2 linked regions of the Macaca fascicularis genome follow. The protein of the gene in region 1 binds, or shares a complex with, the protein of each later gene. Links are inferred from orthologs where the notes say so. Each region holds a gene or a part of one and is shown on either strand. Other genes may lie near its edges.

The links.
Region 2: GTF2F1 (region 1) and POLR2B share a complex: the UniProt entries of both Homo sapiens proteins name them as parts of the TBP-based Pol II pre-initiation complex. The link is inferred for Macaca fascicularis from reciprocal best matches to the Homo sapiens genes GTF2F1 and POLR2B.

What each region holds. Positions count from the first base shown.
Region 1 is NC_088393.1:7,160,643-7,164,754, reverse strand, and holds part of GTF2F1 (general transcription factor IIF subunit 1), read left to right. Parts: intron 1-1,590; coding exon 1,591-1,775; intron 1,776-3,204; coding exon 3,205-3,358; intron 3,359-3,439; coding exon 3,440-3,501; intron 3,502-3,589; coding exon 3,590-3,709; intron 3,710-3,870; coding exon 3,871-3,944; intron 3,945-4,025; coding exon 4,026-4,112. UniProt on the Homo sapiens protein: TFIIF is a general transcription initiation factor that binds to RNA polymerase II and helps to recruit it to the initiation complex in collaboration with TFIIB. It promotes transcription elongation.
Region 2 is NC_088379.1:76,855,584-76,860,785, reverse strand, and holds part of POLR2B (DNA-directed RNA polymerase II subunit RPB2), read left to right. Parts: intron 1-2,558; coding exon 2,559-2,655; intron 2,656-3,791; coding exon 3,792-3,886; intron 3,887-4,977; coding exon 4,978-5,202. UniProt on the Homo sapiens protein: Catalytic core component of RNA polymerase II (Pol II), a DNA-dependent RNA polymerase which synthesizes mRNA precursors and many functional non-coding RNAs using the four ribonucleoside triphosphates as substrates.

The DNA of each region.
Region 1 (4,112 bases):
ACTTAGCTAAGAACTGTTCAGGCTGGGCACGTGGAGAGTGGATCACAAGGCCAGGAGTTCAAGACCATCCTGGCCAAGAGACCAGCCTGGCCAATTTGGTGAAACCCCATCTCTACTAAAAATACAGAAATTAGCCGGGCATGGTGGCGGGCACCTGTAATCTCAGCTACTGGGGAGGCTGAGGCAGGAGAATGACTTGAACCCGGGAGGCAGAGGTTGCAGTGAGCCGAGATCACACCACTGCACTCCAGCATGGGTGACAGATCAAGACTCCGACTCAAAAAAAAAAACAAGAAAAAAATTAAAAATGGTGATGGGGTCTTGCTATGTTGCTCAGGCTGGTCTCAAACTCCTGGGTTCAAGCGAGTATCCAGCCTCGGCCTCCCCTCCCAAAGTGCTGGGATGACAGGCTTAAGCCACTGCATCCAACTGTCACTTTTTTGGTGCACCGCTCAGTGGGGTAAAGCCGCTCACAGTGTTATGCAGCAGTTTCATTATCTTTCACACCAGCCTGGGCTTTGCCCGTGTTACATGTATTCCTAACACTTCTCATTACATGCAGTCTTTTTTGTTTGTTTGTTTTTTGGAGACAGAGTCTTACTCTGTCACCCAGGCTGGAGTGCAGTGGTACAATCTTAGCTCACTGCAACCTCCACCTCCCAGCTTCAAGCAATTCTCCTGCCTCAGCCTCCCAAGTAGCCGGGACTACAGGCACCCACCACCACGCCTGGCTTATTTTTGTAGTTTTCGTAGGGGCGAGGTTTCACCATGTTGTTCAGGCTGGTCTCAAACTCCTGACCTCAGGTGATCCACCTGCCTCGGCCTCCCAAATTTCTGCGATTATAGGCGTGAGCCACTGCACCAAGCCCGGCCTGCAGTCCTGTTTTTCGAAGCTTCCATGAGCAATGAGACAACGTTACATTGTTCCAGTGGAAACAGTAGGTTTTGTCATTAAAGAAAAAGACATCTATAAATTAAGATAACAAGAGATCTGGCCAGGTGCAGTGGCTCATGCCTATAATCCCAGCACTTTGGGAGGCCGAGGCAGGTGGATCACCTGAGGTCAGGAGTTTGAGACCAGCCTGAACAACATGGTGAAACCTCGTCCTTATGAAAACTACAAAAATTAGCTGGGCGTGGTGGTGTGTGCCTGTAGTCCCGGCTACTCAGGAGGCTGAGGCAGGAGAATGGTGTGAACCTGGGAGGCGGAGGTTGCAGTGAGCCAAGATTGCACCATTGCACTCCAGCCTGGGCGACAGAGCGAGAGTCTGTCTCAAAAAAAAAAAAAAAAAAAAAAATAGCAAGAAACCAGTGTGACTGCATTGGGGCCAGACTCTGAGTCCAAGGGAGGTGCTGAGACTCCAGCAGCACGTGGGGACCCTGTCTTTGAGGGACTCGGGGCGGAAAGGGAAGGTAGGAAGGGCCGGTTCTATCCGTGTGGTTTCAGGGAGTCCTGGGCCACAGCCCAAGTCCCCGGGGTCCACATCACATTGAAGGCTGTGTGGGTGGTGCCCGAGGGCTCGCCCCCTGCAAGCGCAGGGGCAGGGTGGTGCCAGGCCCAGCATGAGCCACCCTGTGCCTGGCCCCCAGGAGGAACAAGGTGCTGAACCACTTCAGCATCATGCAGCAGCGGCGGCTCAAGGATCAGGACCAGGATGAGGACGAGGAGGAGAAGGAGAAACGCGGCCGCAGGAAGGCAAGCGAGCTACGCATCCACGACCTGGAGGATGACCTGGAGATGTCGTCTGATGCCAGTGACGCCAGCGGTGAGGAGGGTGAGCACGGGGGCCCGGGCATTAGGCTACAGAGGTACCTGCTCAGGCGGTGCCAGTGAAGGCACAGTCTACCGTCGCTCACAGTGGCCCTAGAATTCGAGGCACCTGGGGCCAGGTGCGGTGGCTCACGCCTGTCGTCCAGCACTTTGAGAGGCTGAGGCAGGCAGATCACCTGAGATCAGGAGTTCGAGACCAGCCTGGCCAACACAGTGAGACCCTGTCTCTACTGAAAACACAAAAATCAGCTGGGCATGGTGGTGCATGCCTCTAGTTCCAGCTACTCGGGAGGCTGATGCAGGAGAATCGCTTGAACCTGGGAGATGGAGGTTGTAGTGAGCCGAGATCACGCCACTGCACTCCAGGCTGGGCGACAGAGAGGGACTCCGTCTCAGAAAAAAAAAAATGAGAGTCAGGCGAGGCTGCCTGGAGGAGCAGTGATATCAGTCAAGAGGCAAAGCCAGAGCCCGGGAGAACTGAGCTGTGGCCCTTCTTTCTTTTTTTTTCTTGAGACAGGATCTCTCTCTCTCACCAGGGCTGGAGTGCAGTGGTACAATCACAGCTCACTGCAGCCTTGACCTCCCAGGGTCAAGCAATCCTCCCACCTCAGCCTCCTGAGTAGCTACAGGACTACAGGCATGCACCACCATGCCCGGCTAATTTTTGTTTTTTTCTTTTGGAGACAGAGTCTTGCCCTGTTGCCCAGGCTGGAACTCAGTGGTGCGATCTCAGCTCACTGCAACCTCTGCCTCCCAGGTTCAAGTGATTCTCCTGCCTCAGCCTCCCAAGTAGCTGGGATTACAGGCATGCGCCACCACGCCTGGCTAATTTTTGTGTTTTTAGCAGAGACGGGGTTTCACCATGTTGGCCAGGCTGGTCTTAAACTCCCGAGCTCAGGTAATCTGCCTGTCTTGGCCTCCCAAAGTGCTGCGATTACAGGTGTGAGCCACAGCACCTGGCCTAATTTTTGTATTTTTTGTAGATACTGGGGTCTCACTCACTATGTTGCCTAGGATGGTCTGAAAACTCCTGGGCTCAAGCCATCCTCCCGCCTCAGCCTGCCAAAGTGCTGGGATGACAGGCATGAGCCACCGCGCCTGGCCTGGCTGAGGTCTTTACGGGGGTTCCTATGAGAAACTGCAACTCTGGGTTGGCCAGTTTCAATAATTCCTGTGCGCTCTGGGCTGTAGGGGCTGTCCCTGGTTATCAGGTGCCTCGCCTGGGGTGGTCTGGGAGTGGGGAGTGGTCTGTGAGCGTTAGAGAACGTGGGTTGGGGTGTGGGGTCTGGACCAGGAGTTTGTTTAGGAGAGCTGAGCTCCTGGGCTGGCCTTGGTGGGGCAGTCTCCCCAGTCAGTGAGGCCCCCAGGATGTCAAAACTGCACAAAATACCCACTGCCTCCCCCTCCTTTTCCTTCCTTTCCTCCCTTCCCAGGCGGCAGAGCCCCCAAGGCCAAGAAGAAGGTGCCGCTGGCCAAGGGTGGCAGGAAGAAGAAGAAGAAGAAGGGCTCTGACGACGAGGCCTTCGAGGACAGCGACGATGGGGACTTCGAGGGCCAGGAGGTGGACTACATGTCGGATGGCTCCAGGTGAGGCCGACGCGAGGCGGCTGCGAGACCCCGTGCGGCCTTGCGGGCGCGCACTCACCCTCTGCCGCCCCTGTCTCACAGCAGCTCCCAGGACGAGCCTGAGAGCAAGGCCAAGCCGCCCCAGCAGGAGGAGGGGCCCAAGGGTAGGCGGCGGCTGGGCGGGCCCCGGGGAGATGCGGGGGGAGATGCGGGCAGTGCGTCTCTGCTCTTGCTCATACCCTGTCCCCCCAGGTGTTGATGAGCAGAGTGACAGTAGCGAGGAGAGTGAGGAGGAGAAGCCACCCGAGGAGGACAAGGAGGAGGAGGAGGAGAAGAAGGCGCCCACCCCGCAGGAGAAGAAGCGCAGGAAAGGTGCGGCCGGTGTGGCCCATGTTGGAGGCTCGGGTCAGGGCCTGGTGCTCTGCTGCCTCCTCCCCTCTCCCCTGCAGGCCTCCCTCATCTGCAGTGGAGGTACCGGTGGATGCCGGGTCCCAGGGTTGCTCTGGCCCTGACCCCTTTCCTGTGCCCCGCAGACAGCAGCGAGGAGTCGGACAGCTCAGAGGAGAGCGACATTGACAGCGAGGCCTCCTCGGCCCTCTTCATGGCGGTAAGGCCCAGCCCGGTGACAGGGGAGGCCTGGGCGTCTGTTTCCAGACTCACACCCCTCACCCCACCCTGACCTCCGCAGAAGAAGAAGACGCCACCCAAGAGAGAGCGGAAGCCGTCGGGAGGGAGCTCGAGGGGCAACAGCCGCCCAGGCACGCCCAGCGCAGAG
Region 2 (5,202 bases), on another chromosome or scaffold:
GAAATACACTTGATAGGGCTTGATGAATGGCTGAGTATGGAACAATGAAGAGAGGAATTGGAAATATTGTTGGTGTTTCTGGCTTGAGTGATTAAAGAGAGGTGCTATGAATAGGTTGGGGGAAAAATAAGATTGGGAACATGTTAGAAGGGGGAAGAGGTTTTAGAGGTAAGATAGTAATTCTGTTTTGGATATGTTGATTTTGATTTAGTGTCTTAGTGTCAGAACACTAAGACGTGAACTTCCAACAACAGTGAGTTGCAAACATGATTTGAAAGAAAGTCAAGTCTAGAGATGTAAAATTTTTTATTTATTAATGATAATTATAGATTACTATGAAATTGCCTAAGGAGAATTTAGATTGAGAAAAAGGCCAGAGGCAGACAATTTTAGACACCAGGAAGAGAAATCAGGAGAGAAGATTTGAGAATTAGCTGGTAAGGAGGGGAATCTCAGGGAGACTGGATGGTAGGTAAAATGGCGAAGAGAAATCTGAAGGGTATGAGTGTTGACTATTAAAGGAGATGGTAGAGTTCTTTGGCACTGTTGTTATCTTTTGTATTAACAGACTTTTGGCTTTGAATGTGAGTAACATTTGTTATTTGTTAGTAAAGTTCATCTTTAGTGTACTGTAATGGGGCTCTAACATTTTGATAGGAAATTCTCATAGGTTAAAATTACTTACTTTCAAAATCCTCCACAAGGGGTTCCTCTTGTCTAGAAAAGCAAAATCTGTTAGGTTGTCTACACAGTATGCACGTATCTTTGGGCTGTGCTTGCAGTGCTGTGTTTTCTCCAACATTTAGATAATAGAGTTTCTTTATGGCTAGAGAAGAAAATACATATACTGAAGGACTAGGTTGGAAAGCAAATGTTCCTTTGGTACTGGCGTAAGTGGAGAGTCATGGCTGGCAGGACTGCAGTTCTGTTATTCCTGACTTCATCATGGCATCTTTATTTTGAAGTTCTTTTTTTTTGTAGAGATAGGGTCTGCTTTGTTGCCCAGGCTGGTCTCAAACTTCTGGGCTCAAGTGATTTTCCCACCTCAGCATCCCAAAGTGCCAGGATTACAGATGTAAGCCACTACAGCCGATCCATCATACCATCTTTAAAAAAACTTTTGACATTTTACCACATTTGCTCTATTATTCTCTCCCTTTTTATTACTTCTCCTGAACCACATGAGAGTAAGTTGCAGGCGTGAAGCATGTGTTTCCTTCTTCAGTATGTGTTTCCTAAGGACAAGGACATTCTCTGTAGTGCAGCCATCAAATCAGGATAACATTGCTATCCATATAGTCAGCAGTCCTCAATTCAAATTTTGCCAGTTGTCCTAATGATGTTTTTTTTTTTTTTTTTTTAAAGAAAGCAGTTTTTATTGTATTCAAACCTAACGATGTCTTTAGTGGGTCTAGGAGCTAATCTAGGATTGTGGATTGCATTTAATTACATGTTTCTTTAGTTTCCTTAATCTAGAACAGTTTCTTAGTCTTTCCTTGTCTTTCATGACCTTGACATTTGTGAAGAGTTCAGGAAAGTTATTTTGCATTGTGTCTCAATTTAGGTTTGACTATTCTTTCCTCATGATGATATCCAGGTTAAGAATATCAAGTTATTTTATATGTTATGTTATGTTATGTTATGTTATGTTATGTTATGTTATTTATTTTATTTTCGAGACAGATTCTCACTCTGCTACCAGGCTGGAGTACAGTGGTGTGATCTCAGCTCACTGCATCCTCCACCTCCCGGGTTTAAGGGATTCTCCTGTGTGAGCCTCCCGAGTAGCTGGGACTACAGGCACATGCCACCACGCCCAGCTAATTTCTGTATTTTTAGTTGAGATGGGGTTTCACCATGTTGGCCAGGATGGTCTTGATCTCTTGACCTTGTGATCCACCTGCCTTGGCCTCCCAAAGTGCTGGGATTACAGGCGAGAGTTGAATATCCAGTTATTTTATGGGCTCATCAAACAGTGTTTTGGCAGCAGCAAGTAAGAATTTCATTGTGGCAGGAAAGATATGATAATTTTTTGGTGGTACAAGGAGAGGGAAATAGGGTAGTACCAGTTTCAAACCTAAAACCAGAAATCGGGAGACAAGGAGCTAGGGCTTGAGCCTATTGCTTATTAATTTTGAGATCATGGGTAGATTGTTAATTCACTCTTCTGATTCATGAGAATAATAATGCTTATTTTGTTTATGGCACAGAGTTGCTGTGAGGATCATGAAACTTGGTTTGGGGAGGCACTTTCTAAGTAGGAGGTGACTCACATGTATAATCACTTATTATGAGAATGGATACATTGGGAGTGACTAGTCTTAGGATTTGCTTGTGTGAGATATTTAGCCATCAGAGTAGTTGCCTCACAGATTGCTATTCTAGGAGGAATAGACTTTGGCAGTTACCGTGACAACAAACACCCAAGCATTTATGGCAAATATGATTTAATTAAAGTTGATTTAAAGAAAGGGCAGTTTTCCTGTTTTCCGGGTGATGTTTTAATGTATGCTTTTTTTTTTTTTTTTTTTAATATGTGCTTTTTAAATTCACTGCAGGCATCAACTCAATTGTGGCCATTGCATCATACACTGGATATAATCAGGAAGACTCTGTTATCATGAATCGTTCAGCTGTAGACCGTGGCTTCTTCAGGTTTGTATTTTGTAAATTTGTCACAACACAGATACAGTGGAAACACTAATATTTTATTCAGAAAAAGTTCTTAAAATATAGTTTAGCTACGCACTACTCCAGCAAGCAGAAGGCCTGGCTGATGGTCACAAACAACTGAAGATACTACTTCTTATATCTCTTAGGAATTTCAAATGCTAGTATTTTGAGCCTTTCTTTTGGTAAGGAAATATACATTTACATTTAGATAATATAGAAATGTCTAAAGAAGAAATAAAAATAACTTAGAATCCATAGATAACTACTGTTAAAATTATGGTGTGTTTTCTTTTCACTCTTTTTTTCCATTATGCTTCAGCTTGATTGTCCTATTGACAAATAGACCTCAAATTCAAGGCATATAAAGATTGTTTTAAAAACTGGGAATTTAGTAGAGGGGAATGGATTTTCCTTTTTCTGTGTAGTTTCAAAGGATAGCACTAGAACTCAGAGGATACATATTATGGCTTAATGTAAAAACTTCTTTTTTTTTTGAGACAGAACTCGCTGTTGCCAAGGCTGGAATGCAGTGGTGCAATCTTGGCTCACTGCAATCTCCGCCTCCCAGGTTTCAAGAGATTCTCCTGCCTCATTTTCCCAGGTACCTGGGATTACAGGCTTGCACCACCACACCCAGCTTTTTTTTTTTTTTGGTATTTTTAGCACAGACCATGTTGGCCAGGCTGGTCTCGAACTCCTGACTTCAGATGATCCACCCACCTTGGCCTCCCAAAGTGCTAGGATTACAGGCGTGAGCCACCATGCTCGGCCAATGTAAAAACTTCTCACTGGAAGTGTTTGAGTAGAACCTAGGTGACCATCTTTCAGGGTTATTTTGTAATGGATTCTTAAATTGTGTAGGAGGTTGGACTCATTGACCCTGGGTCTTTTCTATTTTGACATATAATTCTAGGTGGTTAAGGTTATGGGTCAGATGCTACATATGTATGACTTGTGATAACATTTGGAGTTTAACTCCGACCCTTAATGCAGTTATTCTTGTCCCAGATTCATAGTTTAAATTGTCTCCCGAATTTCAAGTAAATGAGAAATTGTTGGTATAGTCTCAGCCCTTTTGTTAAAAAATAGACTTTACCTTTAGAACCATGTGGTTTTAGGTCTGTTTTCTATCGCTCATACAAAGAACAGGAGTCTAAAAAAGGATTTGATCAAGAAGAAGTTTTTGAGAAGCCTACACGTGAAACATGCCAGGGTAAGTGACGCTAACATTTAAATGATGGAATCCAAAGTTAACTTACTGTGGTTTTCCTAAGTGATTTTGATGGGTTGTGTCAGCCTGCGCCTGCCCCCATCCCCCTCCCCTTTTTTTTGTGCAATGAAACTGTGTTTTCATGTTATTCTTAGAGTTCACATCTAAGAAAATATGTGTATTTCATAAAAGTCTTTGCACCTACGAGTGAGCTTGCTACAGACCTTCCTTCCTGGTAGGTCCTGCATTGAGGAGGCAGTTTAGGAAATCAGAGAGGTCATGTAATTTCTGGGGACACACTTCACGCCTGTCCCCTCTTCCTTTCCAAATTATGGTGTGATCATAATATTTGTTCAGCCACATTATTTGTAAACATTTAAAAAATAACCAGTGAAAAGAGGATACCTAGCATTTGTTGTTTCTTGTAGAAAACTCAAACTTACTTTCTAGTTATTTATTTTGACAGACACTTAAAAACTGCTTATGCAGTGGGATGGTTGGGTTGTTCCAGGAAAATGCAACATTTCTGCTACAGTTTTGACTGTGAATAGCATTGCATGAAGTAAAATGTATTTTGTTTCCTTTGCCATCTTCCTGTTACTCACCTTCCATTGGGTGGTTCTGTGTAGTAGTGAATTGATGTCCATTAGAGTTAAGATTGAGTTAAGATGAAATCCACAATTTCTGTGGGAGGATGTGTGCAGAGGGAATCCATAGATATTCTCTTTTTAATTAAAAAATTTTTTCTCCTGTACCCACTGATAGCAGAGATATTCTTTCTCTTATAATATAGAAATCAGAAGATTGCAAAAAACATATCCAGAGTCACTTGATAAATGTCTGTCATGGAAGAATCTGCTTTCCCAATGCTGATTCCAATGTTCTTTTTCTTCATAGACTTTTTTTTTTTCCTTTTTTTCCTGTGTGGACTGTGGTATTACAGAATTCAGAATAGTTTGTAATATTTGGAATAAGGGTATGATTCATGGTATAGAAATTCCTGTGGCCTTCTCTCTGACTTGGAACTGATTCATGTGTGTGGTTTTTAATCTTTGTTGGGGATTATGTGACATTCCATGTCTATTTCCTCACAGGCATGAGGCATGCCATTTATGACAAACTGGATGATGATGGTTTGATAGCTCCAGGGGTTCGTGTATCAGGAGATGATGTTATTATAGGCAAAACAGTCACCTTGCCTGAAAATGAAGATGAATTGGAGAGCACTAATAGACGCTATACCAAGAGAGACTGTAGCACTTTTCTCAGAACTAGCGAGACAGGCATTGTGGATCAGGTTATGGTAACTCTCAACCAGG